Linked DNA regions of Rattus norvegicus. The protein of the gene in region 2 interacts with the protein of the main gene of each other region in a pairwise test. Links are inferred from orthologs where the notes say so. Each region holds a gene or a part of one and is shown on either strand. Other genes may lie near its edges. The genes, in order: Ammecr1, Efemp2 and Creb5.

Region 1 (10,544 bases), on a different chromosome or scaffold from region 2:
TGATCACATTTGGGTTTATTTTCCTTGTGATAGTGAAGCTTGGAGTTGGGATTAAAAATCCTTGAGGGGAAAAGCTATTTTTGTAATTCAGCTGGAGTGTCCTTGTCGTTGGGTTTCCCCGTTGCATCAGTCGGTCCCTCAGCCTGGCAAGCTTTGTTATCTTTTAGATGAAATGTAGAACTAAGGACATGACTGCTGGTGCTTATTAAAGATTCCTTGCTATTTTTCACAAGAGTAGGGGCGTTAGACTCTTGTCTTTTGGCCAAATTCTAAATCAGGAGACTCCATTCTGCTTTCTTAAATTCCCTCAGCAGAAGCAGTGCCCATGGTATCCTACTTTGTAGTGTGATGTCATAAATGGTTCAGGCTTTATACTCTACAAGTGCTCTCATTTGGCGGAGCGTGAGGAGTAAATTGACACCTATTGCATACTATTGTATTTGATCTAGTTACCTGTGTGGGCCCCCTATTTTATTGAGGTACAATTGACAAGCAAGGTGTATTTGCTTCAGGTTCAAAATTTGATGTCTCGTAAGTGTGTGTGTGTGTGTGTGTGTGTGTGTGTGTGTGTGTGTGTTATAAAATGATCACCATAACTGAGCTAGATAACATAGTCATTATGCCATACCATCATGATTGCCTTTCTTTTAAAAATAATTTGTTTAATTGAAGTATAATAGTTGTATTTATATGCAGAATTATATAATTCAGTACATGCATCAAAGTATAATGTTGCGTAGAATAAAGGACAGAGTAAAAACAAAATCCACAGTACATCACTTATGGTACTTTTAATTTTTACAAGCACTTACTTTTCTCTTTTTCCACATGACAAAAGAATTGGCACACTTTCCCTCCAATAGTAGCGGGCAACAGTTATTTGCCTCCTTTATCACAAACCAGTTAAATCTTCCTTCTCCTCTTCCTTCTATGCTTCTGCTCCCTCCCCTTGTCTGATTCTTTTGACACAAAGTCTTTGCTATGTAGCTTGGGTTAACTTTGAGCTTGTGACGTTCTTGCTTTAGTCTTTTGAGTTTATAGGATTGTATGTATGTGCAACTCCTTCCAACTTTGTGTGTGTGTGTGTGTGTGTGTGTGTGTGTGTGTGTGTGTGTGTGTGTAGGGTGTAGGGTATAGAGGGTATAGATACTATTTAACCATCTTGGTTGATTTGTCCATTCCATACAGTTTTTTTTGGGGGGGTAGTGCATTTCTTTCTTGGTAATGTATCTCAGTGTTTTTCAAGCTTTCAATCCATAGAAACACAGATTTTATTTCTTAGTACTACTTGACTAGAGTATAGCATCACTTTTCTTTTGTTACTAATTTTTTATTATATACTGTGACTGAACAGTAGTGTAGCATTTGTCAGGCAAACGTTCTACCATCGACCGTCTACACCTTCAGCTCTGTGACCTAGGTTTAAGGATGGGACATGCTTGCATTTAAATCCTGATTCGGTCCTTTTCTACATTGGGCGAGCTACTTAATGTTTTAACTGAGGCATTTCCGATTCTTCCTGAGAAGACGGAGTGAGATGATACATTACTTTCTAGGATAGGTGTATAAGATAGGTATAATACTGCCACCCAAAAAGTGCTTAATAAATAGTTGCAATTTTTGATCAAATACACAGATCTTTCTTAATTTATGAATGAAAGAGTGGGAAGCATACATATTTTCTGCACACGTCTCTGATTTTACCAGACGTGCACGAGGATGTGAATAGAGGCTCAATGGTTAGTTAGTATGTGAACAAGCCTCACTTTTCTTCCCCTTGGGTGGAATGAAATGCTCTCAACTGTTTGTAAGGTCCCACACATTTAGATCCAAGGTACCAGAGTCAATCTTCCACTGTTTGCAGACAAACAGTCAGACTCCTGTCTTTGTGGGGGATATTTTGACACCGTGTAGACACAGTGGAGATCACTTATTTTCTATCTGGTTTATTTTTAAATGAATTTTTACATCCGGTTATTGTCATTTTACAGCTCCTTCTTAAGTGCCCAGAATGGGACTGAATTAATCATACACCTCTTTATTCATTCAAGCAGTTTTGAGACAACTTTTTAAAATGAGAATTAAGAACTGTCTCATTACGCACCCGAACAAAATCTTCTAACTTGTAACTAAAGTAACCCTACCTGACCTATATATTTATCTCCAAGGTATGGACATTACAGATATAGTTCAAATCGCTTTGTTTTTGAGTCCCCAAGCCTAAAAACCCACGGTTGCAAGTCTGAAAATACAAAGGACACCTTTGATTCTGTGGAGTGTTTGTGAGGCTCTTACTTATATATTTATTTTTACTTTTAAATGTTCTCCCTGGACTACAAGAAGATAAAGGAAACAAATCCAAGATATACACATTGAACTGGACTTTCATATTTGTCAATTAGGAAAGATTAAAGTTTTGCATTTCTAGCAAAATCTCAGAACAACTGTGGTGTCTGGTAAGGCTAGCATTAAAGACACTGTAGTGTGGCCATTTCCCAGATGGCTTTTACAGTGGCTGTCTCAGGTGTGGAGCTCCAAGGAGCACCTGCTTGCTCACACTCTTAACAGTTCAGAACCAGTGTATTTGAGGCCGTGTGGCTCAGGTTCCACCTAACTGGGCTCAAGTGTCACTAACACGACATGCACTGGGGTATCACCAAGGTGCGCTTTGAAACTTGGATGCTTATTTCAGACTTTCTTTTTTCTTTCCCCCTTTCACTAGTTTCTGTCTCCCGGCTTCCTCTTGGAGCTCGCCCACCTCCTCTCCTTCCTCCCACTTCTCCAAGTCTTGTCCTCTTTTTTTCCCTTCGCTTTTCCGCCTTCCATCCTCGGCCAGGAGCCGGCCTCCCAGGAGGCGCGAGTCGGGCGGGACCCACCGTAGGCGCCAAGCCACGAAGGCTCGTGGCGCGCGCCGCAGGCGGGGGCGCGAGCACGCCTGAGCAGTGGCGGGGCTGGGCAGCCGCCCGGCCGCTCAGCCGCGTGCGCGCGCAGACCGCGAGCCCCTAGCGCGCCCCCGGCGGCCGGGGCCGCAGCGTGCTCGCCCCCGCCGCCAGCTCGCCTCACTTATGGGTCGGAAGCGCTGCGTGGGGGAGACTGTTCCAAGATGGCGGCGGGTTGCTGTGGGGTGAAGAAGCAGAAACTGTCCAGTTCGCCCCCCTCCGGCTCGGGTGGCGGTGGTGGCGCCTCCTCCTCCTCCCACTGCAGCGGGGAGAGCCAGTGCCGAGCCGGGGAGCTGGGACTAGGAGGCGCCGGGACGCGGCTCAACGGACTGGGCGGGCTGAGCGGCGGCGGCGGCAGCGGCGGCGGCGGCGGCTGTACCCTCTCTCCCCCTCAGGGCTGCGGCGGCGGCGGCGGCGGCGGGGGCATCTCGCTGTCTCCACCTCTGAGCTGCGGAGTGGGAACCCTACTTTCTACTCCGGCCGCCGCCACCGCCTCCTCGCCGTCCTCCTCGTCTTCATCCCCCGGCTCCCGGAAGATGGTGGTGTCAGCGGAGATGTGCTGCTTTTGCTTCGATGTGCTCTACTGTCACCTGTATGGATACCAGCAGCCCCGGACCCCCCGCTTCACCAACGAGCCCTAGTGAGTACCGCGCTCCCCGTCGCCCTCTTCCCCCGGGCTCGGGATGGGGCTCAGAGTTGAGGTAAAGTGTAAGTCCTCCGCCTCCTGTTCGCGGGTTCCCCTCAGTCCCTCTTGCCGCTAGGGTCCCCAGAGCCGCCCGACCCGTGGGGCACTCGGCGCTCCCCTGCTCCACGAGGAAAGCCCACACTCGGAGCAGGGGGCTGCTTGCCAGACATGGCCCCCTGGCTTCCAGACTGCTCCCGCGCTTCCTCTTTGCGCTAACTTCCAGGAGTTTTGACCCCTTCCTTCGCTGCTTTCTACCCCTCACCCGCCACCCCACCAGCGTTGGTGGAGATCTGGATCACTGTCGGTAGCGACCTCTCCTCACTTTGCTCGCCATTACCCCACGTGAAAGCCCCGCCAGTATTCCCGCCCCGCGTACCTTGCACATGGAGAGCTACTATCCCATTGCAGGGTGAAAAATAGCAGTGATCTAACTTCTATTCTCCTAGTGATGGAACTTAGCTCTGGATCTCCAGGGAGGTTGCCCATCTTTTCCTCCGGGTTTCCCTCCCTGTTCCTCGGGGAGGGGAGAGGTTCCTTAAAACACCTTTTGCCTTATTACCTATTTTTATCTGAACATACCCATTAAAATGCATTTCTAGTGAAGCTAACGCACCACCTCACAGTTGAGAGTGAGACCTTTTTTTCCCCCTCTTCCTTCTTCCTTCCAGTGTCTTGGTATAGCACATTAAAAGAAAGAATGTTGTCCCCAAAGAGGCACTGTCAATGCGTGCGTTTGCTTTTGTGTGGATTAAGCAACCTATGTTAAACTCAATGATTTGAGGAATAGTTAAACAACGCGGTACATGTGTAGGCACTTTTATGATTTCCTTTGGCTTTTGTAACTTAACATTAGTTTATACCCTTCAAGTATATGGTTGAAACTGTTTAAAAATAGCACTGTTACAAGCTAAAAGCCAGGTTACTTCTAATCTCTGTCCATTTGGATGTGTGGGAGATGGGGCATATGGTTTTTCTTTTAAAATGTGTAAACTGAGTGTAAACTGACTTTCTGAGCTAAGTGCTAGACAGAATGTAAAGTCCAAAGGAAGGCAGAATGGGAAAGGGGGCAATTGTTTGATTATGACTACTGGCATCCACCAGAAAAATACAGAAAAAAAACTAAGTACACTCATACTGAAAATCATCAACCCCATCCCTTCTGCTCAAGAGCTTCTTGTTTCCCACAGAGTAAAGACATGAATTGATGTTCTTTTTAACTTGCTGCTTCTCATTTTGTGAGATTAGAGGAACGAACTACTACTGCTGGATAATTATGAACAGTCTGACGCTACTAAAACATTAAATTAATGTGTAAAGTGGAAATTACAATAAAGTGTCCTGGAAATTGTGTGTTCGTATTGTTTGTTTTCTTTGCTTTCATTCTTTAAATGTCTTTAATTTTGTAGGACTCTGCTGTGCTCTGGACATTTCTTTAGGTTTGGTTCATCTTTGGGCCTCAGCTCCTGAGAAATGTATGAAAAGGTGTCCAGGTGGACACAGTCGAGTAAATTAAGTGCTTTTGGCAAGTTAATAATGTTAATTTAACTTAAACTCTAAATCTCCACTTTTACTTGGCCTATTTATTTTTCATTAAGAGGTAAAATTCATTTTAAAAAGATAGCCATATTAAAAGGAAATCTATGAGATACTCTCTAGGTTATTAGTGACTTTTTTTTTTTTTGCCTTTTCTTGGGTGGCCATGATGTAGTAAAAGCTAGACCTGGGATGATTCTTAGGCTGGCTCTGGAAAGTCCTGGGGTTGTAAAAATTTACTCCTGTTCAGCTCTTGAGCTGTTACATGAGTTTGGCAGAGGCTGTTTTAGCATTCACGCCCCATTGCTCCAAAGCATATGAGAACACACTTTGAGGAGGTGCTATTTTCTCACTTTTTAAAGTGAGTTTGGGTTAACTGAATAACTATCACAACAGTTAAGAGGAAAATGAGCTTGACCAGTTAGTTCAGAAGGGAAATGCTTTTAAAAAGGTTTTTTTTTTTTTGTTTTGTTTTTAATAGCAGTGGTCACTCTCCACTTGTACCTAGATTGGTTCCCTTTTAATACCCGAGTTGCTGAATTTTTGCCTCTCAAGTGTTCTTAAGCAGTTAAATAAAACACCCATCTGAGCACTGTGAATACGATGAGATGGTGGGGGAAGAAGTGTAGCTCTGAAGGGTTAGGCTTTCAGTATGCCACATTTCTATAGACCAGCTAGTTCATTGAAGGCGCTGGACCACAGCAACCAGAGAATGAAGGACTCCTCCTTCCTTTTAAACTGATTTTTAAAGTGTGCCATGTCAAATTCCAGAATATCTTCTTGATTGTGGGAGTGAAATAGCTCAATATTTCACAGTGCCTTGGAAACAACCACACATGTCTCCATTTTACAAATTTGGTATTGTGTGCTTATTATTGTGGCATTGTATAGGCTTTAAAAGATTTTTTTACTCCACTGACTTATGGGCATAATGTCATGGGCAGTATGTTTAAAGTCTTTTTTCCCCTGTCTAGCAGAAGACATGCTTCTAACATTATCAAATTGTCATATGTAAAAGCATAGGGTAGTGTTGTCATCTCCTCCTAGGCCCTTTCTGTCCGAATGCTTGTAACTGGTGTGATCTGACTTACAGATTTAGAAGTCACAGCTACATCCGTTACTCTAACACTCTGAAAGGTCATTAGAAATTTTAATTCTTTATATGTTTTGGGGTTGGGGAAGAGGTCGTCTGTGAAAGGTCACGTAGATAGATACAAATACTCCATGGTTGTCCATCTTTTGAGTACCCAACCATTGCAGAGAACACAGGTTTTTTTTCTCTCTCTCCAGAAATAAGGTTCAAGATGCAAGGAAACCATAATTTTAGGTGCATTTTCATATTCAACAGTCAAAGCTCACATAAGCCACTTTCGAAGAACCTGTTGACTAAAGGTTCCCCTGTGGCAGGTGTGGAACCAGTTAGATTCCAGAGCATTAGTTCTCAACCATGGCTGCCCATTGGAATCACTGGGAAGTTACTCAAAATATGGAAACCTATATTCTTTCCAAAGATTCTGATGATTTAGTCCACCATGACTGGGACCTGGGAATCAGAATTATTTAAGACTCCCCAGGTAATTTTAGTGTGTATTGGCATGGAGAACTGCTGGCTATTTTCTAGGTTTTTATTTTGAGATTTGGATTAATTCAATCGGGGTAGTGCCACAGACTCCATATTTTATGAGCATCTTGGGTAATTTGAGCAGACAATCAGTTTGGGAAAGGCTTGCAATGTGGTCCATAAAAGACATCACCTGGGAACTTATTAGAAATGTAGGCTCCCAAGCCCCACCTCAACCTCCCTGAATTAGAATCTGCATTTTAACAAGCTCCCTAGGTGATACTCATGCACATTAAAGTTTATGGCGGACTTGTTCTCTGACTTTAGCATACATTGTAGTTTTCTGTTGTGCTTGTTAAAATTGCAAGTTGCTGGGCACTTTCCCAGAGTTTGATCCAGTTGCTCTGGGGTGGAGCTGTACATTTGCATTTCTAACAAGCTCCCTGGTGATGCTGATGCTACAGTTCCCAGGGTCAGACACTGAGTAAGGGTGGGTTAGGGAGAACTGAGGGCCTCAATGGGTGCTCGAATGACTGTCAGTGGCAGTTTGGACAAGCATGGGCCTCTTTCTGTTTTCCTGTCCTTTTTCATTCTCAAATATCACGAGGGGAATTGAGTGCTACCAAGAGCAGGAATCAAATTCTGCGGATGGTGTGGGGCTGGGGTTACTCTAGGAAACCTGTTATGTGAATATAGATTTTTCAAGGGAAGTGATCGTGTGAAGGACATATTTCAGGAGTTAAAACCAGCATAAATAGAATAACTTAATGTGAGTTACTATTAAATAAAAGGACCCCCTCTTGTTTCCATGAAAAGTACTTTTACAGTTAGCTCCCTAAATAACAGGATGTGATGAGATTTTTTTCAAAGCCCTTATTTATACTTCTGTTTGCTGGGACTTATTTAAAGAATTTCCCTCATTAGTAAGGAAATATGAAAAAGGGTCCCAGTTAAAGCACTCAGAGTATATAGTCATAGATTTTTTAATGCTGTGGAATCTATTATATCTCATGAACCTTTTAAATTATTGTACCATCTGTGAAATTAACACTAGATTTTTTTGTAGACAATTGCACATGGATATTTTGCTTTTAAATATCAGTAAGTGGTTTTCTGTTGCAAGGAACAAAACCTTTTTTTTTAAACCCACTCTCAGACATGCAGATCTTGCAATGCTCAAGTTAGAGGATTGAGCATTAACTCTTGTCTTACCGTAAGAATAAAATTCCTATTTTCAACATGCTTGGGAGGTGTGGTGGGTTGTTTTAGAGATGGAGACACTTTGCTCTGGCCATATTGTACAGTTTTTCTTAGAAAAGAAAAGCATTTTTCTGATGCTTGCTGAGACTTTGGAAGGGTTCTTTGCACCACTGTTGATTTACATTGCAGAACTTAATGGCTCTTCTTACTGATAGAAAAGACAGGCATGTTCTCAGTTATTACTTGTACCACAACACCATCAGTGACAGACACAGAAATGTAGAAACATAAATGACAAGATTATTTTTAATCTCTATATACTGGTGTATATACAGTTAAGTATATTTATTTACTTAACTGTGGAGCTGTTTACTTTCCATTCTTCCCCATATGGCTGAAAGGAGTGATAAACTAACCCATAATTTTTTCTTGCTTATAAATTGCACTTGAGTTCAGATTCCACTTAATGTACCAGGCTAGGAGGAGCCTCTGCTGTGTTCTTTCAATTTCATGGGAAGAAAGATAATAAACGAAAATGTAAAAGTTACTTTGATAGCACATGTATGAGTTCCTTTTCTAAATATGTTTTCTCTTTCAAAACTACACTTTCTGAAACTGAAGCTGTGTCCCACAAAACCTTTTTGCTACAGTGGATTGTATTTTAAGTCAGTTGTGTTTCCCCCTTTCTATGGATAAATTCGCTTTTTGAGAATGTATATGTATGGAACACTAAACTTGTGTAATGAGATTAGTCAGAGTTCCCAGGTTTCCTGGATTTCAATAGGCATTATTCTGTGCTGTCCATGTCACGCATGCTTGCCTGTTTTAGAGCAGCACAATGGCCAGAGCTTTTACATTTACATTTTGTAAGTAGTCTTTTTCAAACTTGTGTAATAATGTCTCTTTTTATACTGTTCTGAATCAATTAAGCTAAGTAAGTGAGGACTAGCAGTAAAAACCAGTGGCTGCCAAGAATGGACCTTCAATGTGTAAGCTGTCCTTCCACATTCAGTAATTGGGTGGTTGCTCACAAGACACTGGAGACTGTGGGAAGGCAGTGGTTGTGTAGGTGGGAAGACTAGATTCCCAACAGTAAACTTATTTAGACGTGAGCTTCTGTAGTTATTGTTGCTAAGAGCAAAAACCAACTACAAGCTTATGTAGTATAAAGAAAAAAATCCAAAGCAAGATGTATGCTGTTAGAGTATATTGTTGGTTGGGAGGAGGAAAATTATGTTTGGTCCAACTATAAGTGGCATTTTTTTGTATCAAGTGTGGGTGTATTTTCTACATTTCTTAATATATCACACTTTAAAACTTGCTCAACCTTAAAAATACATTAGTGTTGAATAGCTGACTGGAAATTATGTGTCACCAGAATTTCTCTCTCGCTCGTTCTCTCACTCGCTCTCTCCCTCCCTCTTCCTCTCCCTCTCCCTCTCCCTCTCCCTCTCTCCCTCTCTCCCTCTCTCCCTCTCCTCCTCTCCCTCTCCCTCTCCCTCTCTTCCCCTCTCTTCCTCTCTCCCTCTGTGTGTGTTTTAAGCATATGGAGAAAAATGGCCCTATCCCCGTAAAGTTTCCTATCTTATTCAAGCAATGATAGAAATAAGAAAGTTGCTTAAAATAATTTCAACACAATGCATGCCTGTTCAGTTGATAAGATACAGGTAAAATAAAAAGGCATGACATAAAAGAGAGACCAGGAAAAGATATGTGGGAAGGGATGACTTAAGTCAGGTTTGTAAATGGAAAAAGCACAGGGATTGCTGGGGAAGAGCTTTCATGGATAGCAGAGATTGAACTCTAGGGTGTTCTCAAACCAGTTGCTGTTACTACCACACCCTTTCCACAGTGCACGGGGATTCCCAGCAGCTGTCCTCAGTCACCAGCTTGCACTCTCAGCATTCTTCACACCATTCCGCTTTGCTGTGGTCTCTTTAATTCATAAGAACTTCAAAGAAATTCTACTTTGTGCTGGAAGTTCCCAGGGGAGTCTGGATGAGAGGTTTTGAATTAGATGATCATTTCTTGAATTGGAGATCAGGAACATAAGAGAGGCTTCTGCAGTGTAAGAGGAATTGGAAGGTGAATCTTCAGATAGGAACGAGCAGCTAGAGTTAAGATGACGTGGTGGTAGGAGAGTGGTGCTGGAAAGTGGGAAAGTTGACGCCCAGTGGAGATTATGATTGTAGGAATATTGCAAAATGAAGAAGTGGAAGAAGGTATCAGCGCTTTTAGGCATCCCTCCTCTAGGGCCAGGTTTTGTGTAGGAGTGGGAAGATAGCAGCTCACCTGCTTTTTGGCTTCCATCATTGCCTAGCTATTCTCGTACACAGAAAAGATTGTTAAGCCGCTGTATTGGAAGGGCTGTGTAATTTGCTCATGAATGCATCTTTCTTAGGAGAAAGTAGACATTGGTTTATAGAATTTGGATCAAGTGTAAAGATAAGATAGTTTTTGGAAGGGGATCTTAAGTGAGGTGACTGCATATGGGTAAACAAAACAAAACTAAAGAACAAACAGTGCACTCTTCAAAATTCCAGTTCCTGGGATAGGGGAATTAAAGGAAGAGAAGATTTGAACATGATTCAGAGCTTATAAGACTGAAACCCATGGCAGGATGCAT
Region 2 (10,544 bases):
TTCAATTCCCAGCAACCACATGGTGGCTCACAACCATCTGTAATGGGATCTGATGCCCTCTTCTGGTGTGTCTGAAGACAGCTACAGTGTATTCATATACATTAAATCAATAAATCTTTTTTTAAAAAGGGGGGGGGCGCGTTGGGGATTTAGCTCAGTGGTAGAGCACTTGCCTAGCAAGCGCAAGGCTCTGGGTTAGGTTCTCAGCCCTGGAAGAAAAAAATGAAAAAAGAAAAAACAAGCCCAAAGGCTGTGTGGTCTGGGGATAGGCAGCACCTGACATCTGTGGACTCCTGTCTCCATTCTAAGTGGGTCCTGGGTCTAAAGAAGCTCCCACCCCACCACTGACGTTCAGCCTGGGAAACAGCCACCATGACCAGAGATAGGTGCAAAGACTTGGCTTTCCAGGGTTCATGCTTGGGGCAAAGGGGGGGGGTCTAATCCTGGAGTCATCCACTTACATGCTCTCTACCTCACATCTACATTAGGGGCTGTCTTAGGAAGCTATGCTCCATTCAACTCCACCCCTATCTCTCCCTGGGACAGTAAGCCAAGGGACCTCTCTATTTAAAAAATGCTACTCTCTTTAAGACAAAGAGGACAGACTGTCCATAGGTGCCTAGCCCAGTTTCCCCCAGCCCAAATATGTACCCCAAGTTGATCTTGTGCTGTGTGGGCTGAATGTAGGTGACATGTCATTTGTGCTCTCTTGTGGAAGGCTAAAAGGAAGGACTGGGGACTTTACTCCTGGTTCCTTCCATCCCTCAAACGTGAACTCTGCAAGGACAGGTTCTGATGGTGTTTTGGACAGCACTGTGTCCTTGGTCCTGGCACATTCTGATCAGCAGTGGCCACTCAGAAAACACTTAAATGAATGGGTGACTCCCCTGATCACTCGGTCCCTCCCTTATCCTATAGCTCCTGCCCAGCCACCAACCAGTCAGGGCCGGGCTGTGAGTCCAGGAACCTCACTGTCTTTGAGGAAAGAGAACACTCTACAATTTGTCCCAGGTGTCACCAACATAATGAGAACAAAGTTAGAACTCAGATCCTGCTATTCTAAGACTGAACCTTGTTCCCATGAAGAACAAGAAGGAGCCATGAATGAATACCTGGCCAGGCTCTTCAAGTCCCACACCACCACTCAGAGCTGCTGTTGTCACTTACAGCACCAAGATCCAGACAGAGAGGACTCAGAAACACAGTGGAGGACTCAAACTTGAGCAGGAACTTCCAATTTTGTACCAGTAAGCTCAAGTCATCCTGCCCCTGCCTTCCTGACAGCCTCCTCTGACCTCTGCCACCCTGGTGACTTTACCTAACTTCCCTGGATTGGCATCATCCCTGGGAAGCTTCCCATTTGGTTGCTTCCCAATCTCTCAGCCTTCCCATCTGTGAAGGGAGTAGCAATGGAATCCCATCTCTGGCTTGGCAAGATTGCAGTGTATCCCTGCAAGTGTCTGGGATGGTTAGATCTTGATCATCAGGAGTTTTACTTCACGTCATTAACATCTTAATAGTTGGTTATGGTGGCTCACGCCTGTAATTCTAGCACCTAGGAGACTGAGAGGAGAGGCTGGCCAGAAGTTCAAGACTAGCCTGGTTTCTTAAAATGTTCCAGACTTGGCTGGAGAGATGGCTCAGTGGCTAAGAGCACTGACTGCTCTTCCAGAGGTCCTGAGTTCAAATCTCTTTTTTTCTTTCTTTTTTTTTTTGGAGCTGGGGACCGAACCCAGGGCCTTGCGCTTCCTAGGCAAGCGCTCTACCGCTGAGCTAAATCCCCAACCCCTGAGTTCAAATCTCAACAACCACATAGTGGCTCACAACCATCTGTAATGAGATCTGATGCCCTCTTCTGGTGTGTCTGAGGACAGCAACAGTGTACTCATATATAATAAATAAATAGATCTTTAAAAAAAAAAAGTTCCAGACTAGCCTGGTCTATATGAGATCCTGTTTCAAACAGCAACAACAGATTAACTGAGATGTAAGTTGCTTACTATGCAATTTACCTTTGTGGTTTTTTTGGTTTTTTTTTTTGTTTTGGTTCTTTTTTTCGGAGCTGGGGACCGAACCCAGGGCCTTGTGTTTCCTAGGTAAGCGCTCTACCACTGAGCTAAATCCCCAGCCCCGTGGTTTTTTCATTTATTATATATAAGTACACTGTAGCTGTCTTCAGACACACCAGAAGAGGGCATCGGATCTCTCTACTGATGGTTGTGAGCCACTATGTGGTTGCTGGGAATTGAACTCAGGACCTCTGGAAGAGCAGTCGGGTGCTCTTAACCGCTGAGCCTTCTCTCCAGCCCACCTTTGTGGTTTTTTTGTTTGTTTGTTTCTTGTCTTCTTGTTTTCAAGACAGGGTCTCACTGTGTAGCTCTAGCTGTCCTGGAACTCACTATGTAGACCAGGCTGGACTCAAATTCACAGAGATCCACCTGCCTCTGCCTCTTTCAGGCGGAGATAAACGATGTAAGCCCCCACTGCGCAGCTGCAACTCACCTCTTAAGAAAATAATGGATGTAAGCCAGTGTGGTGGTGCGCACCTTTAGTCCTAGCACTTAAGAAGCAGAAGCAGTTGGATCTCTGATTTGGAGAATAGTGTGGTCTATAGAGAGAGTTCCAGGACAGCCAGGGTATGTAAAGAAACCCTATCTCAAACACCAAGACCCCCCCCCAAAAAAAACCCAAGGATTATATGTATATTTGAAACAGTGTCTCTCAATGTAGCTGGAATTCTCTATGGAGACCAATCTGGTCTCAAACTCAGAGATCCACCTGCCTCAGGTTCTGGGATTAAAGCCATGTGCCACTAGGTCAGGGACACTTTTCCCCTTGTGTTTCTCTCTCTCTCTCTCTCTCTCTCTCTCTCTCTCTCTCTCTCTCTCTCTCTCTCTCTCCTCTCATCTCCCTCCCTCCCTCCCTCCACCCTCCCTCCCCCAATCAGGCTTTGAGATTGGCTTGATTGGGCAATGGGGAATGGAGAAAGAACAGACAGGCATGAAGAAAATCCAGGGATCTGGTGGGCCGTGTGTTCTGAGGGAGACATCAGCAGCCTGGAAACTCAGCTGATTTATTATAGGAGCTGGAAGAACAGAGTTAGCTAATCTCCTTAGGGGATCTCTGCAGGGAAGCAGTCTCAGGCTGCAGTCATCTGGGCTTTCAAAATACACACACTGTCAGCATCTGTGCTCATGGAAGGCCTTGGCAGTTCTCTGAGCCTGACTTGGAGAAGGCCTTGCCCTTCCCACAGGTCCGAGTGGTTGGGTCCTATATTAATGGGATCCATGTTTGCTCAGGACTTCATCTGCTCCCCATACTTTTTTTTGCCTCTGTGGGCTTTGTTCTACATCAGAATTCCAACACACATTCACACTCATGCACACTCATACATTTTCACACACTTACATACTTTCACACATATACAGACATTCACACATATTTACACACATTTACACACTCACACATACATTCACACAGTCATACACATACATTCACATACAGTCACGTACATTCACACATACACACACTCATGTACAGACACTCTAGTGTGTCAGGAGTTACTGGGATTAAACTTTGGATCTTGGTAATGCCAAGCAAGCAGGATGCTACTGAGCTACACCCCTAACCCTTTATTGTTTAAAAAAAAAAAAGTCAGTGTTGTAGAAATGACTCTAGTATTCCTCTTCCAGACGACCTGAGATTGGTTCCCACGTCAGGCAGCTAACAACTTCCTGTAACTCCAGATCCACACTCTGTGCACACCTGCACTCGGGTGTACATACCTCTACACAGATGCACACACATATGCATCTTTAAAAGTTAATAAAAAAAATTTTTTTTTCCAGAGCTGAGGACTGAACCCAGGGCTTTGCGCTTGCTAAAGCGCTCTACCACTGAGCTAAATCCCCAACCCCAATACAAATTTTCTAATCAAGATAATGGAAGTTGAGGAGATGGCTTACTGGGTAAAATGCTTGCTACACAGCATGAGGGTCTGGGTTCTGATCCCCAGCTCTACCATAAAGACCAGCTGTAGTGGTGATGCATGTCTGTAACCCCTAGAGGGTCAGGGAGGTGGGGACTGAGAGCACACTAGCCAGCCAACCAATCTATCTAAAATAGTAAGTTCCAGACTCAGTGACAAACCCTGTCTTTTTTTTTTTTTTTTTTTTTTTTTTTTTGACAAACACTGTCTTAGGGTGGAGAGCGATAGTCTCCATTAGTACATAGGCACACACGCACATACCACACACATTACCACTCAGACAATTAAATGAAATGAAGCAGAATTTTTATTTCCGTCACAGCAGAGCGGAACATGGTAGTGCACGCCTTTCATCCCAGAACCTAGGAGGCAGAGACAGGCAGATCTTTGTGAGTTCGAAGCCTCATCTACTTAGTGAGTTTCAGAACAGTCAGAGCTACAGTTTGAGACTCTGTCGCAAAAAGACAAAACAAAAACAAACAAAAAAAGATGGAAAGAGGTTGGGAAAGGGAAAGGAAGGAAGGAAGGCCGGGTTATTGCCGCTAGCGGTCTGGGCCAAGCACGGGAGCCCTGGACACGCAACCCTTTCCCGTCTAGACCCGCCCTGAGACGTGGGCAACGCGAAGTCCCGCCCATTTACCCCTTCCTGGGCGCCAGAGGCACCCAGACTCCGCCTCCAAGGCATGATCTCCGCTGGGGGCGGAGGCGGAAACTGGGTGGGGGACTTGGATGGGAAGAGGGTCGGGAAAGGGCTGGCACTGGGCCCTAGTGTCCTCCGCGACCAAGTTCAAGCTTGCCCGCCTTCTCAGGGGCTTCCATTCATTTCGGGCCAAGACTACTGCTGCCCTCGCCCCCATACTATTGTAGCGTTGCGCAGGCAGGGCTTGGGGAAGCAGTGCCCTGAGTAAAGAGACCACCTGGGGGTGGTGGAGGTGGATACAGAGGGAATTGGACAATTAATTGTATGCCTGGACGAGGATCAGGAAACCTTGGATGAAGTTTTAGGACCATCTAAGAGTGTAACACTGGATAAAATCCTGAAAGTGGTAGCATTTGGAGATCTGAGGATTAAATAAATGTTTGTTAGGTTCTGGGAAGCGCAGAATCCGGTTACACGGAGGTGCGAGTGCACAGAGGGATTCCGGAGGCACAGGTTAGATAGGGTTTAGGTGGACAGAATAATCATTTTGAGTGAGGGCCTGGGGTCCCCAGGTGAGTTTGGGTGCCAAGCATCAAGGTCAATGGTCTAAGGACCCAAACATTGGGAAACTGACTAGGCGTCCACAGGCGACTCCAGGCAGCGCCGCGGGGGACCGGGTGGGGGCCTGTGGCCGGCCGGGGCGGAGAAGCCGGGGGGTCGGGGTCCCTCCCCCTGGCGCGGGCTCAGGAATCCGCCGAAGGGCGGGCGGAGGCGCCGGGGTGGGCCGCGGCGGGCGGGCGGGGGGCGCTTCCTGGGGCCGCGCGTCCAGTGAGCTGCGCGGTCCGTCCGTCCGCCCGCAGGCACTGCTGGAGTCAACGCGTGAGTGGCCTCCAGCGGAGGGAGGGCGCGGGCCGTGTTGCGGCCGAGTATATGCTGCGCGGAGCGGAGAGGCCTGCGCTTCATGACTCGTGGGGCGGGGGCGGGGCGGTCCAAGATTGCGGCCCTGAGCCCCAGGCCTGCGAAGGGACTCGGTCCCCAGCCCTGGAAGGTTTCGGTGCTCCCAGAACAGTCCTGGGACGAGATAGCTGGGACCCAGCCTCCCCTTCCAGATGGAGGGAATGGGGGGTGTCGTGGCAGAAACCCCTGACTTCTGCCCACCCCCTCTCAGCCCCAGGATGCTCCCATTTGCCTCCTGCCTCCCCGGGTCTTTACTGCTCTGGGCGTTTCTGCTGTTGCTCTTGGGAGCAGCGTCCCCACAGGATTCCGAAGAGCCGGACAGCTACACGGTGGGGACCTTGGGGTCACCAGCTTGGGATGGGATGGGAAGGACAGCGAGTGAGGCAGGATCCTGGGGAGGCTGCTTCTGGGAATGATTCTCCCCTGCTTGGTTGGTGGAAAGCTGGAGGCCATTGTGTGGAGCTGACCTGAGCATGACTGAGCTCAAGCCCTGGTCTTGGCCTGGCTAGTTGGAGGAGACAGCCAGGGTGGTCACTGGCCACATCGGGTTCCCTTCCAGGAATGCACAGATGGCTATGAGTGGGATGCAGACAGCCAGCATTGCCGGGGTGAGTATGTCTGGGGTACTAGCCATCTTCAGGAACTGGGAAGGGGATTACTTCTGTTTCCCAGGGACACCTTATCTCCCAGAGCTGCAGCAGGAACTTGATGGCCTTCCCACTGTCCACCCTGGTAGCCAGCCATCTGGTAGGCAGCCATGCTTCTCTTGTGCCACTCAATTAGGAGCCCTACCCCTTCAAGAGGGTGAACAAACTCTGCCTCTGTCCTGCAGGAGGCAAGAGAGCACCTGGCTATTGCCCAGAAAGAAGGAAATACGTACACCTTCCCTGAACTGCACTGCACTCTCCCAGCCCAGCTCTATCCCAGTGCACCCTGGGAGGGCAGTACAAGCTCTGTGGGTCAGGAGGCCTGCAAATTACTCTTGGGCAAAGGTAGAGGCAGGGATTTGAAGAGAAACGGAAACTCACATGGAGGCAGGAGAATGGGGGTAACAGTGTGAAATAGGGGGCCACACACCCAGTCCTGCAAATGCCTGGGAGGGGTTCTGGGTCGGCAGCCTTTGCTGAGCAGAGAGAAAGCCTTGCTGTGTTGCTCAGTTTAGAGAAGGCCAAGTTGGGCTTCTGCCTCCCACTACCTCCAGGGCCAGCCCAGGTGACTGGCTGTGCCCAGCAGGCCCCTCTCTGCAGATGTCAATGAGTGCCTGACCATCCCCGAGGCTTGCAAGGGTGAAATGAAATGCATCAACCACTACGGGGGCTATTTGTGTCTGCCTCGCTCTGCTGCCGTCATCAGTGATCTCCACAGTGAAGGACCTCCACCACCAGCAGCCTCTGCTCAACACCCAAATCCTTGCCCTCCGGGCTATGAACCTGATGAACAGGAGAGCTGTGTGGGTAAGTGGGGGCCATGCTGGCACCTAGGCTTCCAGGCCTTTTATAAACTTTTTTTAAAAAAAACTAACTTTGGGGGTTGGGGATTTGGCTCAGTGTAGAGCGCTTGCCTAGCAAGCTCAAGGCCCTGGGTTCGATCCCCAGCTTCCAAAAAAAAAAAAAAAAAAAAAAAAGAATAGAAAAAAACACTAACTTTGTATTTACTGTTCAAAGTAATGTGTTTTATCATGGTGCCATCTCGGCATATATCATTCTTGTTTCTTTTAATCCTCCAGTAGAGTTATTTTAGTCCTCCTTAGTTTGTTTCTTTGTTTTTGATTTTTGAGAGAGGGTTTCTCTGTGTAGCCTTGGCCATCCTAGAACTCAGACTCAGAGATCCACCTGCCTCTGTACCCCACCATCCAGCTATGTACTTTGGGTTTTGAGATCGTTTCTGGATTTGATTCCTGGCACCACAAAAAAAACACAAAAAACAAGTGTGGTAGCGCACACCTGTAACCCACCAGTGGGGAGAGAGCAAAAAGATCCGAAAGTACAGGTTATCCTCAGCTGCGTAAGAACTTTTGAGGACCACCTGAGGCTGCCCGAGATCTTACCTCAAAACAATTAATTAACAAAATAATAAAGTAATTTTCCCTATTTAATACCCCAGACCTCATGCTCCTTCCGTCTGGCTGCTCAGAGAAATATCCAAGTTTTCATCTACTGCAGGCTCAGTGCATGGTCTGCAGGCCCAGGATGTCCCTAGCAGCCTCAGTTCCTGGACAGACATGTGAGAGCTCTGCTCCCAGCCTCTGCCAGCTTTTTGATCTGGAGTCAGGTCTGGGAGGAGGAGAGATCCTGGCCCTGCAGTCAGCTGCGGGGTATAAATGGACAGGGCTTTATTTGTCTGTTTACTTATGTATTTATTTTTAAGACAGTGTCTCACTCTGTAGCCCTAGCTACAACTAGCTTGGCACTCACAGAGGTCCTCTTGCCTCTCTTCCCCCGCAGTGGTGGAATTGAAGGTGTGTGCCACCAGTTCCCACAAGACCCTATTTTAGTATGTTCTCCTAATGGGTACTTTTCCTGGTAATTCCTTGGTGGACTCTTTTTTGGACTATTGGGATGATCTCAATTAAATGTTCATGATTTGATGCCAACTACCCATGTGCATGGGCCCCCTCCTCACACGGTCCTTAGCATATGGGGGACTCCAGGCAAAGGCTGAATGGTGTCTCCCACAGATGTGGATGAGTGTACCCAGGCTATACATGACTGTCGCCCTAGCCAGGACTGCCATAACCTTCCTGGCTCCTATCAGTGCACCTGCCCCGATGGTTACCGAAAAATTGGGCCCGAATGTGTAGGTGAGTTCGGTGGCTTTCCTAAGTTCCTGCTCTGTGACCTTGGTCTGCTTCTTGATCTAATACCTTACGTCACCCCAGCCCTCTGCTGCTGGTGCACTCCTGTCACCAGACCCACTAGACATGTGGGCGACTCAACTCAGCTCCCCGACAAAGGCAGGGGTGAACGTGGGTGCTGAGGTGAGCTGGCTCAGGCCCCACCTAGCTTGTGTTCTACTTTCCGTCTCCTGCCTCCCATCTCAGACATAGATGAGTGTCGCTACCGCTACTGCCAGCACCGATGCGTGAACCTGCCAGGCTCTTTCCGATGCCAGTGTGAGCCCGGCTTCCAGTTGGGACCTAACAACCGCTCTTGTGTGGGTGAGGCTGTGCCAGACCAGGTTCTGGGATCCTGGGTAGAGATGGGTGAGGTAGGGGCAGGATCTCCTTCCTGAGCCCAAGTCGAGTGGGTGTTTGTCCTTGCACCCTCAGATGTGAACGAGTGTGACATGGGAGCCCCGTGTGAGCAGCGCTGCTTCAACTCCTATGGGACCTTCCTGTGTCGCTGTAACCAGGGCTATGAGCTACACCGGGATGGCTTCTCCTGCAGTGGTGAGAGTCCACTTGTGCTACTGGATACTGCATTGGTACCCCCCCCCCCCCGCACTTGCAACGTATTGGACCAACTCCAGTCACACAGTCATTTGTTTGAGGCTTCGATGTCTCGCTCTCTGCACCCGCAGGCCTTCATGAACTCCATCTTGAGCTGGTTGTTTGGCACTCCCAGCTTGGGGGGTTGGTACGATAGGTGCTTCTGAAGCTTGCTGGAGAGACAGAGAGGGATGGAGGTGCCCGTCTTCCTGAAAGTTGAGTTGACTTGCATTGGAATCCTGCACTAGGAAAGTCTCTTCTTCCTGGGCACATTTCTAAGGCAGATGGGCTATTTGGAGAGTTAGGGACAGTGACTGACAGGCTTCATCAAGTCTCAGGCAGAAAAAGTAGGTGCCATGCGTTTATAACTTAAATTTTCAGTCTCGTTTTATCTGGTCAGTGATGATTTACTTTTGTAAACAGAACATTAAAGGTGTGTTGGTGGAACTGTAGAAAGTAAGCAGAACGTTGAGAGACAGTGGTGACTTTCATCTTTCCCCTTACAGAGATGAAGTGACCTGTCCAAGTTCAGATGGGAAGGATGAGGCGGGGCTTGGGCTTACCCCAGGCATCTCAGCATGTCACCCGGCACACCCTCATTGTTGTGTGCTCTGTGAGGCACAGCATCATTGGTGTTTAGCGGTGTGAAAGGAGCAAGAGCAGACAGATAGGATGCTGCATGTGGGTCACACGCTCAGCCAATCTGGGCATTCTGACTGCAAATCGCAAGACTTACAGAAAAGAATAGAGCAGGTTAGCCCCTCAGGACACCTCTAGTCTAACCTACTCATTTAACTGGCTCAACGTGGACCAACGTGGCTCAATGTGGTACCCCCAAGCCTCTAGACTGGTGTTGCTTTTTAAGACAGAGCCTATATTACCGTGGCTGTTGTAAAGCTCTCTGTATAGATCAGGCTAGCCTACAGAGATCTGCTGAGTCGTGCTAGAATCAGAGGCACAGGCCACCATGTTAGGCTAGTGCTTTGTTCCGTATTCTTAAAGTCCTGGGAGAGAGGTGCTCTATATGCTTGAAGGTCTGCTGTTGTTTTGAGACAGGGTCTCATTGTGTAGCCCTGGCTGGCCTGGAGTCTCTTATGTAGACCAGGCTGCCTCACACTGACCTGCTTGCTTCCGCCTCTGCCTCCCAGATGTTGTGATCAGACACCCCATTGTTTGCTTTTCAAGGCACGATCCATCTTGTTATGTAGTCCTGGCTGGTTTTGATCTTAATATAATCCTGGTGGGGCTCCCCATGTGGATCAGGCTGACCTTGAACTTGGTATAATCCTCCTGCCTCTACCTCGCAAATGCTGGGATTGTAGACTATAGCACCATGCCAAGCTTCAAACCTTTCTATTCTTTGTCTTTTCTTTTTCCTCTCCCTTTCCTTGCTGGGATGGAACCTAGAGCTTCAAGCGTGTTAGGCAAGTACTCTACCACCGAGCTATATCCCCAGCCCTCTAACCTTCCTCTGAAACCTTCAGTCCCCCTTTTGAGCATTATGGGTTTACTTCACTCCCTCTCTCTTCCCA
Region 3 (10,544 bases), on a different chromosome or scaffold from region 2:
CTCCAGGGTCCATGAGGGATATTGACCTCTAGCCTTCAAGTGTGCATGCACGTGCATGCGTGTGGACATGTATGTGTGCATTTTCTTCCCAGATGAACTGCTTGGGATTGTTCATACCTAGCATTCAGTGTATCCCAGCAAGGATGTTGGTTTGGTAAATCCATGACTTTGATCCCAAGGTTCTTCCCTTCCTGGTCCACCAACTAAGGAATAACCCGTTTCATTTGTCATTGTGGATGCTACTTGTCTCTCCACAGGCCCAACCTTCTTAGCACCAGGCTGGCTTGGGTAGGGGTGCCTGTGGGTGATTGTACCCCAGCCAGTTTGGCCTGTTTTTGGTGTAAATGACCCTGGTTCCACATGTCCCACCGCATGTCTGGAGGTGAGATGTCGTACCTGACTGGGTGCTGGCATCCCAGTGTGTAAATGCCATAGACTATGCCACCTGCTGACTCACTCCCTTGCACTGTCGCCTCCTCCGTTTTACTTCAGTTCTGAGAAACCCTGGATGAGACTGGGTGAACCAGCACAAGGCAGGCAGGCTGCAAGGCCCAGTCACGGGGGCTGTTGGCAGGGTCTGATGGGCAAGAGTCTGCTTGCTGCCCACATGCCCTTGCTACCCTTGGTTGAATGATGAGGACAGTCTCTTCCAGTTACCAGATTAAGTTTACTAACTTCACTGAATGCCTACTGATGACAGCCTCGGTCCCAGTTCTTTCATTAATAGGGAGAGAGTGGGGCTTACAGAGTACTCTCCCAGAGCCAGGTACATTTGTGAATGCAAGTGACATGATTCTTGAGTTACTGTAAATATTCCCAACGTTGCATTCAGAAAGTTGGGTAGTGCCTTCATTAAAACCCAATTACTCACACTTCTGTTTAGAGAACTCTGTGAATGGGGCCATCTAACTCCTTGCAGGTGTGTGAATCTTTTGGCCATCACCCTTGCTCTGCATAATTGATTCTTCACTCCATTCCTCTGGATTATACCCATTTCTGGGGTTGGGGGACACCAGCTCTCAGCTTCAACCCTGATATGCTGGCTCTATTCCTTGGGAGCCTTGTTTCCTCTGAGAAAGGAGGTTGTCCCCTGTTCTGGGTGAGCAAGGCTGTACTGGAGAGAGAGAGAGAGAGATGGAAGGTGGGTGCAGAAGCTGCTGTTCAATGTACTGTCGCTTCCTTCCCTAAGCCCAGACAATTGAACCAACATGGTCAAGGTTTTGTTGGTTCAGATTCAGGTTAGGACCAGAATCTTCTTTCACAGTTCCTTTGGTGTTCGTTCCATGGAGAAAAGCAGCAGAAGAAAATTCACGGAGGAGCTTTTAGGAAGGCTGCAAGGAAAAAGGAGTTGTCAGCCCCTGTGATTTCAGAGAACCCTGAAGATGGGGTTGGAGTGGGGTGGGGGCATTTAAACACTTCAAACCAGAAAGGAAACAAAACGCTCTTCCACTTAGTATGTCAAAACCAGCTCGGAAATGTGACAGTTTGGGCAAAGCATTACGATTCCTAGCCAGTCTAGTCACGATCCTCTGGCAGACTGCACAGTCACGGCTGTGATGCATGGGGGTGAGAGGCACTATATAAATGTCAGATGTTACATAAATGTCAGGAACCGTTATTGTTTGTTAATGGGGGCTAAACTGTTCCTAAGCAAAGATCCAACTTCCAGCTAGCAAGTTCTTAGTTCTAACCAGTCAGCCACCAGAAGAGAATTAACATCCTTGACTCTACCAAGGAACCCAGGTGGGCACTGGGGTTAGACATGAGCTACAGTGTTCTCCCTGCTGATCTCGAGAGCGCCTAGCCTTCTGGCGTCTGCCTCAGCTCAGCTGTGAAACAGGGTAATTACAACACTGTCCCCACTTTTCCTCATCGTGCCAAGGTCTTATGAGGAAGAAGAAAACGGTGTGACTTCAAGTGTTTAGCAAAGTGTGAGTTGTTGCAGGATGACAGTGGTCATTTTGAACAGGCTTTCAATGTTCCCCAAAGGGAGCTTCCAACCCAAAAACCTAGCCCTTGGTAGGAGTGAGGAAGGTGAGAGCAGTGGCGTCTGGCCCATGCTGAAAAAGGTCAGTCCTTCTTTCCCCGCTGCAGACCTGGCCCTATATCCCATATTCTAGCCCTGGCTGCTTCCCAGCCGGTGAGCTTGGGCCAGTAGCAGAGGCTCTAGAAGCAATGGCCAGGGCCCTTCCGGCGCTGACGCGGAGTCTAAATCCGGCTCATCCTTTGGCTCTTGGCTGAGATTCACCTTTCCCCTTTAGAAAGATTCTTTCACAGGTCTGCACACGCACGGTGCGGGACTAGGGAAGACTGTGTGCTGTGTGCTGTGTGTAGTCCTACTCAGTGTACACAAGAAGTTATGTCCTTGAGAGTGATGAGGAGAGGGGCGGCGAAATGTAGACGTAATGCTGAGAAGCCAGCACGCAGAGAACACTGCAATGAGGTCATGGCTGTCGCAGGCAACGGATCTGGGTATCTTCGGGGGCTGATGTAGGGAAGTAGGCAGAGTCCTGCATTTGTAAGTGCAAAGGTCTCCCTTTACCTCCTTCAACGTCCTAACCACCTCTCTTGCTCACACCCCAAACCTTACTTCTTTCTGACCCTACAGGCACTCCTTGCAGGAGCGCTCGTGCCCCTGTCTCCTGCATGGTTCTGTTTGAAACCTTCAGGATTGTTTCCAAGCTGACTCACACCACTAATGTCGGGGGAGCCGTGTTACTCGGCGCTGGGCTGTGCAAGCTGTTGCTTGCGCGATCGCGGGCGCCGCTGCCGCAAGCACCCGGGTCCGCTCGAGGGGCGGGGTCTGGGCGGGGCGGAGACGGGCACGCCCCCTCGGCCTGCGGGCCCCGCCCCTCTCTCCCTCCTTCCCCAACGGACCGCAATGATTTAGAAGTTCAGGAATCCCACGTGACGTCACCGGGGGGGTGATGTAATGCACTCTAAATAGAATGTATTGTAATCTTTGCTCAGTCCAACGTGGTCCCTTCACCCGGGCTCGGCTCTTGCCTTCTCCACACTTGTTTGGTAAGTTCCTAAAAATACGGCGCGGCTACTTCTGGGGCTTTTGCATTTAGCCACTTTCGCTGCACTTGCCGCGCCAGCCGACTCGGAAGCGTCCTTGTTTGCAGGGGTTGGTTCATCGCTGCAGCCGCGAGGTTACTTGGTCCAATGGGCAGGTCACAGGGCAAGGAGTAGAAAGGATGCGATGCATTTTTTTTTCTTGATTTGTGTTTATAAACACTTTGGCGGATCAGAGGGAAGCCCGGCCCCAATTGCTGGTGGACTGTGGAGTTGTGCTGTGTCCTGTAGTCACCCAGAGACCCCACGCCGTGTCCGTCCCGGAGCGCGTCTCGGTGGTTGCTGCGCCGTGCGATTGGAGGGATGCTGAGTGGAGCCAGCGCCGTGTCCGACCCAGTGTGCGTGCGTGTTTGGGAGCGCGCGTGAGTTTCCCTGACACGGGGAACAGTCATGAATCGGGGGTGTATGTTTGCCTCCAGAGCCCATGGCAAGGTGCGGAACCCTCCAGAAGTGTGGTCAAGCGGCGGTGGTGGTGGCGGCGGCGGCGGAGGCGGCAGTGGTAGCAGCAGCAGCAACAGAGACCAGGAACCAGGAGCCTCCTCACATCCCGTTTCTCAATGATGCAGCGGAACCCCGGGAGAAAGTTTGCAAACTTCCACCATTTCGGCCAAGACGCCTGGTCACCTAGGGGCGGCCGGGCGAGTTTGCAGGGGGCTCTCTCTCCCACCGGTGCCCAGCGGCCGCTGCCATCTCTCGAGACCCGCTACCGGCTGCAGCTGGTGGGCGCGCGCCCCGGGAGGGACAGCTGCCCTTGGAGGGGACTTGACTTTCGCTCCAGGCGCTCCAGCTTGAGAGTGCTCCAGAGCCCTCGCCTTCACTCCTGAGCCGCCTTCCGCCTCCGTCCCCTTTGCGCTGGCACTCTTACTTCTTCCGGGCTGCCGCCCCAAATGACAGCTGGGGCCCGAGCCGCACTGCACCCAGGCGGTTCTCAGTACCGGGCGACAGAGCCTGCCTTTGAGCCAGCTTCTCCATCAACCGCTTAAACTTTTCACAAAGTTCTTAAAGGGTTGAGACAGACACCGCCCCCACTCCGCCACTTTAGAGGGACCATAGCCCGCTTTAGTTTTTCATTTATTTATTAGTTAGAGATTTACTTCCAGAGGGGTGTCTAGTAGAAAAAGCCCCAACTTTCCCTGAACGAGTGCCGTCCCCACTTGATGCTGGTTCAAAGCTGGGAACTGGAGCGGGCTGCTTGTACATCGTTGTCAGTGACTGCAAAGCTTGTTTGGTTTTTTATTTTTCCCTCTTCCTGACATGTGTCAAAGAATAAAGGCTGGCTACAGGTCCATTACGTCATTCTGCAGGCTAGTAAGTGTTTGATTAAGGGCTTCAGATATTCAAGGGTTCTGGGGCTCAGAATGCTGACAAAGCAACTCTGCTCCCCTCCTCCCCGGAGCAATTGCGGGTTCCCTGGACACAGCTATTGCCCTCTCTTTCCCGACCCCTCCTCCTCCATCCTTCTCCCGCCCACCTCGTTATCACTTGGCCTGCCCCCCGCCGTTTACAGTTTTCCCCTAGGGGGAATGCTGTCCCAGGAGTGAGCTGAAGAGCTTCTGGTGCCTGAGCGAGCTCAGTACCTGATGAGCGCTCAATCCGCTCCTTCCTATTATTTAAGAAAGGGACTATCCGGGCCCTCTTTTCCCACGCGAGAATGCTCAGTCTGGATAGAAAACCCCTAGAAAGGTTTAGAAGCCTTATACGCTAATAGCGTGTGCCTGCCGTGACTTAGGAAAGCAATATGCCCACAGTTAAGAGCCCAGAGCCCGATGAGTTGATGAACTCCGTAGTCCTGGGAGAGGGATGAAGGACTTGACTAAGTCAGGTTTAGCGGAAAGGATCTATATTAGACATTTAATTTCCAGAGTCAGGGACGCGTCTGATAACTGAAAGTACCTTATAACACCTTACTGCTACGCGCAGTAGTTTCTTATTCTTGCGTTTCTATGTTTGCAGAGGAAGTTAAACGCCCAATTTACAGAACTGAGTTCTTCCCCACTTGCTCTTTAAAAGAACACTAGTAGCAAAAACACCACTATATGCGACTTGATTAGGGGACAAAGTGTGAAAACTTTTGGGGTGAGTGAATAATGATAGCTGAAATCAAGTGAAAACAAACACAGGCAGAAGCTTTTGACTGGAGAATAAGGTGTTTGAAGGCTCTTTGATTTGGGCACGGAGGAGGCTAAGTAAAGGAAATTTTATATTCTAAATAGGCAGCATTCTTGAAGAACACGTGTTTGGTTATAATTAGATCTACTTTCTCCAACATACTCTGGCCCTAGAGCAGGCTTTGTGGAGCTTGTGACTGGAGATTGCTTGACACCCCTTCCTCAAGTTTGTGGCAGTATTATTTACTGGCATCTAGCGATGAAATGGTATAGTCCCCCTATGCGAAGCACAGGCATTGAAAATGTTAAAATTCTTGTTTGTGATGCAGAAACCTAAAGGGAAAATGGCCAGGTCACCAGGCCCTGGAGAGTGTGATTAATGATCAGTGATTTAGTGATCAGTGATTAGTGGTTTTATTCAAACTGTTACCTCTGACCAGAAGCACACATCAGAGGATTAACAGGCTCTTTAGATAAATGCTCATTAGTGGAAGGGGAAAAGCAAAGATAATAGGCGTGCACCCAGGGACAACTTTCGAAGACAATCATTCCTGTCTTCACAATAATAAGCTCTATTAACAGAAAGCCCTTTTAATTTAAAACTTGCTTTTATCTTGTAAATCAAAGTTAGATGTAAAAGTTTGTAGTGCCATTATAACCTAGATTTTCCCATATCCAGGAGATGTGGATTATCCCAGTAGCGATATTTTTTTTATTTAAACAAACAATTGGAGCTTTAGAGTGACTGGACCCTGACAAGCTTAGCTCCCAGGGCTGGAAGGTGTCCCCCCTTCAGGCTTGGAGACTGCGCTTTGCTAACTAGATGGCGCACTGTTATTTGGTGTCCTGTGCTGCAGAGCACATGGGCAGAAGCTGAGCATGTAGCTGCTTGCGAGGGAGGTTGTTCTTCAGCACAACAAAGTTCATTCTGTGTAGGATTGGAGGCTAGACGGTTCTACAAGTTTTTAGTCACATTTTCCGTGTCAGTTAAATCTAGGGAGTTGAAGGCTACTGGAAAAATTAGTCTCATTACTAACAGTAACTTAAAGAAGGAGGGAGGGGAAAAGGTACCAGAGTCTATGAGATAGGTCTGAGTTGCAGAGGGAGGGGAGAAGGTACCAGAGTCTATGAGATAGGTCTGAGTTGCAGAGGGAGGGGAGAAGGTACCAGAGTCTATGAGGTAGGTCTGAGTTGCAGAGTGACTGCTAGGTGCCAGGCCTCCTCTCTCTTTAGCTCAGAGCTGGTCCACAGTCTTCTGGCCTGAAAGACTGAGCCAAGTACTCAAAGACGTGTTTCCTTTCTGATCTTGCTGGTTAAAAGAAGTTACAAGAGAGGAGGGCAATTTCTGATCTGGAGACGGCAGGAGGCAACACGGTGCGGTTTTACACTCCCAGCTATGGTAAGAGCATGCTCATGTTTGTGAAGCAGAGACAGCCCTCACATCAGTCCAGGTCAGTCTCATACTGTCACAGACAGGACTTGGAAATGGGTTTTTATCTTATGTTTATTTGTATGGGTTTTTTTGTTTTTGTTTTTGATACTTTGCTGGGATCAGTAGGATTTTGTGTAGGTGTGTATGTGTGTGTGTTTGTGTGTGTGAAAAAGAGAGAGAGAAAGAGAGAGAGATATTTATTTGTGAAATAGAATAAGTTCACAAAGCGGTGAACTGCTGTGGGGAAACTATGAGGAATGGAGAGCAAGGTGTCAGGTAAAAATCTCTTCAGAAAGCTTTCATGAGTCACTTTAATGAGTCCTTGAGTTTTAGCAAGAAGGCATTCTTTTATAAAAAACATAAAGATTAAAGGCGAAACATAACAAAAATCATGTCCACACTCAAACTTAGATCCAGACTCCTCTAAAGAAGGATGCTATTGGATAAATAGCAGTTTTACTTGAGTTTTAAAACTCTAAGATCACAACTCCCTGCCTTTTCACCCATTTTCTCATTTTCTGTTGTTTATACCACTTTTATATGAATTTGATATTTTAACTCCTTATCCTTGTATAAATTTAAATTTTCAACTTTACTCAGAGTAAATACATTTACTCATCTGATAATATCTGCAAGTCAGATTTTCTTAAAATGTAAAGAGCAGATACCCACAGATTACCTGTCAATCAGAAGCAGTCAGCATTCTAGATTGTTCCTACTCCTAAAAAAAAAAAAAAAAAAAAAAAAAGGAAGCCGTGCCTTTACTTCTATTTTGCTTTGATGTTTCCACCTTTGAATTGGTGGTGAAGTAAATGGTGGTCAGTTAGACACTTCCCCTGCATAGCTTTTCATTTGTAGAATATTCTTATTGGAACTATTTGCTGGTTTCTCCCGCCTGCATGTTCAAAAACAAGTTTTTCCACTGCAGTTTGTACCAATGTCACATTTCCAGTCTCCTGACTTCCTCCTGTGACTTTCTTTTTAGAGATCATAGATCACTGGCGTGTTCATCTTTAGTTGGGAATTATCCTGTTGGAGTCTGATGGTCCCTTCCCCCTCCTCACATGAACTTTGTCTGTGCAGTTGGTGTTCTTCTGATTGTACCATTAGACTGGAAATGGGATTTCAGTGGTGTTATTATTTTAGTCATCTTTTCTTTTCCTCTTCAAAGCAATGCTGTTAGTCACAAATTAATGTGATCAAGCCTGGTGTTTCCCATCTATATACTGCTTTTGCTGCTTGCAAATTGGATCTAAGGCAATTAAAGAATTTTTTTTTTTGAGGCAGCTTTCTTGGAGGAAGCCGGACAGTGACCTCAGTCAATTCGTTATCTTGTCCAGTTTGACTGTTGCTGTGTTATAGGAATCAACCAAGGGTTTTATAAATTAGTGCCTGAGCATTTCAATTGAAGACTATTTCTCCAAGTTCTGTTTAAGGAAATGATCCCATTGAGATAAGGAGGTACAGAGAGCAGCAGCCTTCAATAGGTCTGGAAGATAAACTTTGACAAAGAGAGCCTTCCGGCTGCTATGTGTGAACTAAGTGTGCTGTTTTCTTATAGTGATTTATGGAGGAAGTCTGGTACTTTAAAAATGACTCCATGTGATGTTTGTACTAACTAATTATTAGATTTAGTAATTAAGAGAAACAAGTGATTGATGCATTTTTAAACATTCATTATTTCTGTATTTGGGAACCACAAATGATGAATTCAGCAGAAGAACATTTTTAGGAAGAGGGAAGGCTCTGAGGTGTTTTCAGAAGTGACAACACTCTTCTGAAAACACCGGGAAAGTTTGTGAAAAGAAGACCCTGGGGCTCTCAGAGAACTCCAAGTTCAGGGAAATTTTCTGAACGCCTGCAATGTGACATGGGATGCCAAGTGACTTTTCCTATAGGTTCACTCCATGGTCTTCCCCCATTTTATCTGAAAAAAAGAAGTCAGGAATAAAAACATTGATCTGGAATTGAATACTTCAGTTGATTTCTTCTATTCCCTGAAGGTTCACATTTCTCATCCCTGTCTCCAAATGAACAGGAATGCCCCATTACCACGCTGGCATTTGACTTCACCTGATCCTTCTTTTTACCAGCCTAGAGACTTGGACGGTGGGTAGAAACCGATAACTGCATATAGATGCTGGAGCTAGGGAGGGAGAGCCTCTTGGTCAACCTCTCCAGTGAGAGGAGAAGATCCCAAGGCCTGGTTACATCCCTTAGCTTATCCAAGGCCTGGGCCACAGAGTGGGAACCAGGCCTGACTGCCTGGCCTTCTGCTTCAGCTCAGACTCTCTTTCTGTCAGGCACGCTGCCTAAACGCCCCTGTCATGGATCCACTCAGCAGAGGCCAAGGTTTCAGAAGCTTCTCTCTTTTCAAGCCCTTTCACAGTCAGCCTTTCAAAGACAAGTTTTTAAAAATTAACTTGACTGCCTTGAGCAAACAAATTGTAGTTTCTAGTCTGTATTTGCATATATATGAAATAAATGAAATCTCTATATGAAATGCTGATTTTCCTACATTCTATTTAATTGATTTTTTTTTTGCCTTAAAGTCTTCTTCATGCTTATATTAAGCCTTACAAAACCCATAGTGCTGAAGTTCCATTTGAGATTACAAACTGGGCAGGATTAAAATGGTTGAGAAGGCTGTCCCAGCATAAGGCAGTGACTTTCTTTCCTTATCCATGTCATCTTTAAGCAGAGGGTCCGAGAAGAGAGAAAAGGCTGAACGTTTATATTCACCATCATTCTGTCGAACAGAGGGAGTGCTCTGCCCACCCTCGCTCATCTACTTTGGCTTGGCACCCATCTGCAATCTGTTACGTTTTCCGAGTCAGTGTGGGAGTGAGTTTGGAGTAAATACTATTCTGTGCAAAGTGAGTTGTCTGGAAGCATGCTCTTAGGGTTTCACTGGCAAAGCTTGACGACTTATAACTAGCAGGAGTAATTTAGTAGCACAGGGGGCTCCAGAGCACTGGGTATTTTCTTTCTGATTTAGACTCTGTTGCCACTGGATGGGGGAACAAGAGCATCTAAACAGAAACCTTGAATGCTTGTACTGTGTGTATCATTTGGCTCGACCCATGTCTTTCCTTTCCAGCCCTTTGCATTTTACATCAGAACCCAGGCCTCTCTTGTTCCTTTATTACACCAAGGAGCCCCTATGTTGCAGGCATGATTTCTCAAATGCAACACATTTTGGCTAATTTTATGCAACCCTCTCGGCCAGCTTCCCAAAGGGGGAACAGAGAACAATAACAACAACAAAAAGCTTTGTTTTTATTTAAATTAGCTGACCATTAAAAGGAAAGACATTTAGTTTACATTTGGCCTATTTGGTAGGACTGTGCCCACTTTATCAAAACTCAATTTTTTCTCTTGGAGCAAACCTGGCTTCTAAAACCCAGGTTTCAACTTTTGCATCGCAGAGGGTTGAAGGCACTGGGGATAAAGTCCACTGCCACCAGAGTACTGAGGTGTGACTTGATGAAAGCTGGGGGAACACGATTTGCCTTGCTTCAAGGACAACACTGTGGCTCCTCAGAGTAGAAAACATCAGTGTTCGGAGTTGAGGCAAAAGCGTCTCTCAGGATGCTGACAACCTCCAGTGTTAGCACGCTGGTTGGTCTAACCTGGTGTGATCGTTCCTTCCTTCCAGGGCCCCATGAGTGGCAGGCATGCACATTTTACCACTGAGCTGTACCCCCAGGTCCAGGGTCATTTCTCTGCTGAAGTGTGGCAAAGGTTCTCTTTCTCCATTCTTTGCATTTACTTGGTGTTAATGTTTCCCTAGACTTCCTTTTTCCTTTTTTTTTTTTTTTAATATTCATCCCTGCTGACTACTTCACTCTCAGGAGTGGCCCCATAATATCATATCACAAAGCACGCACAACAGAGGGGGCTCTTTCCTATAGATAACTCCATTT

What was found.
Region 1: the proteins of Efemp2 (region 2) and Ammecr1 interact in binary tests that used the Homo sapiens proteins (3 or more experiments, as listed by UniProt). The two-hybrid records come from large-scale screens. The link is inferred for Rattus norvegicus from reciprocal best matches to the Homo sapiens genes EFEMP2 and AMMECR1.
Region 3: the proteins of Efemp2 (region 2) and Creb5 interact in binary tests that used the Homo sapiens proteins (3 or more experiments, as listed by UniProt). The two-hybrid records come from large-scale screens. The link is inferred for Rattus norvegicus from reciprocal best matches to the Homo sapiens genes EFEMP2 and CREB5.

What each region holds. Positions count from the first base shown.
Region 1 is NC_086039.1:111,360,646-111,371,189, reverse strand, and holds the start of Ammecr1 (AMMECR nuclear protein 1), read left to right. Parts: upstream 1-3,090; 5' UTR 3,091-3,103; coding exon 3,104-3,579; intron 3,580-10,544.
Region 2 is NC_086019.1:212,206,312-212,216,855, forward strand, and holds the start of Efemp2 (EGF-containing fibulin-like extracellular matrix protein 2 isoform 1 precursor), read left to right. Parts: upstream 1-5,410; 5' UTR 5,411-5,507; exon of another isoform or gene 5,508-5,737; coding exon of another isoform or gene 5,738-5,803; coding exon 5,804-5,914; intron 5,915-6,144; coding exon 6,145-6,193; intron 6,194-6,832; coding exon 6,833-7,039; intron 7,040-8,262; coding exon 8,263-8,385; intron 8,386-8,625; coding exon 8,626-8,742; intron 8,743-8,853; coding exon 8,854-8,973; intron 8,974-10,419; coding exon of another isoform or gene 10,420-10,436; intron 10,437-10,544. UniProt on the Homo sapiens protein: Plays a crucial role in elastic fiber formation in tissue, and in the formation of ultrastructural connections between elastic laminae and smooth muscle cells in the aorta, therefore participates in terminal differentiation and maturation of smooth muscle cell (SMC) and in the mechanical properties and wall integrity maintenance of the aorta.
Region 3 is NC_086022.1:83,720,844-83,731,387, forward strand, and holds the start of Creb5 (cyclic AMP-responsive element-binding protein 5), read left to right. Parts: upstream 1-3,381; 5' UTR 3,382-3,440; intron 3,441-3,497; exon of another isoform or gene 3,498-3,596; 5' UTR 3,597-3,635; coding exon 3,636-3,797; exon of another isoform or gene 3,798-6,582; coding exon of another isoform or gene 6,583-6,585; intron 6,586-10,544. UniProt on the Homo sapiens protein: Binds to the cAMP response element and activates transcription.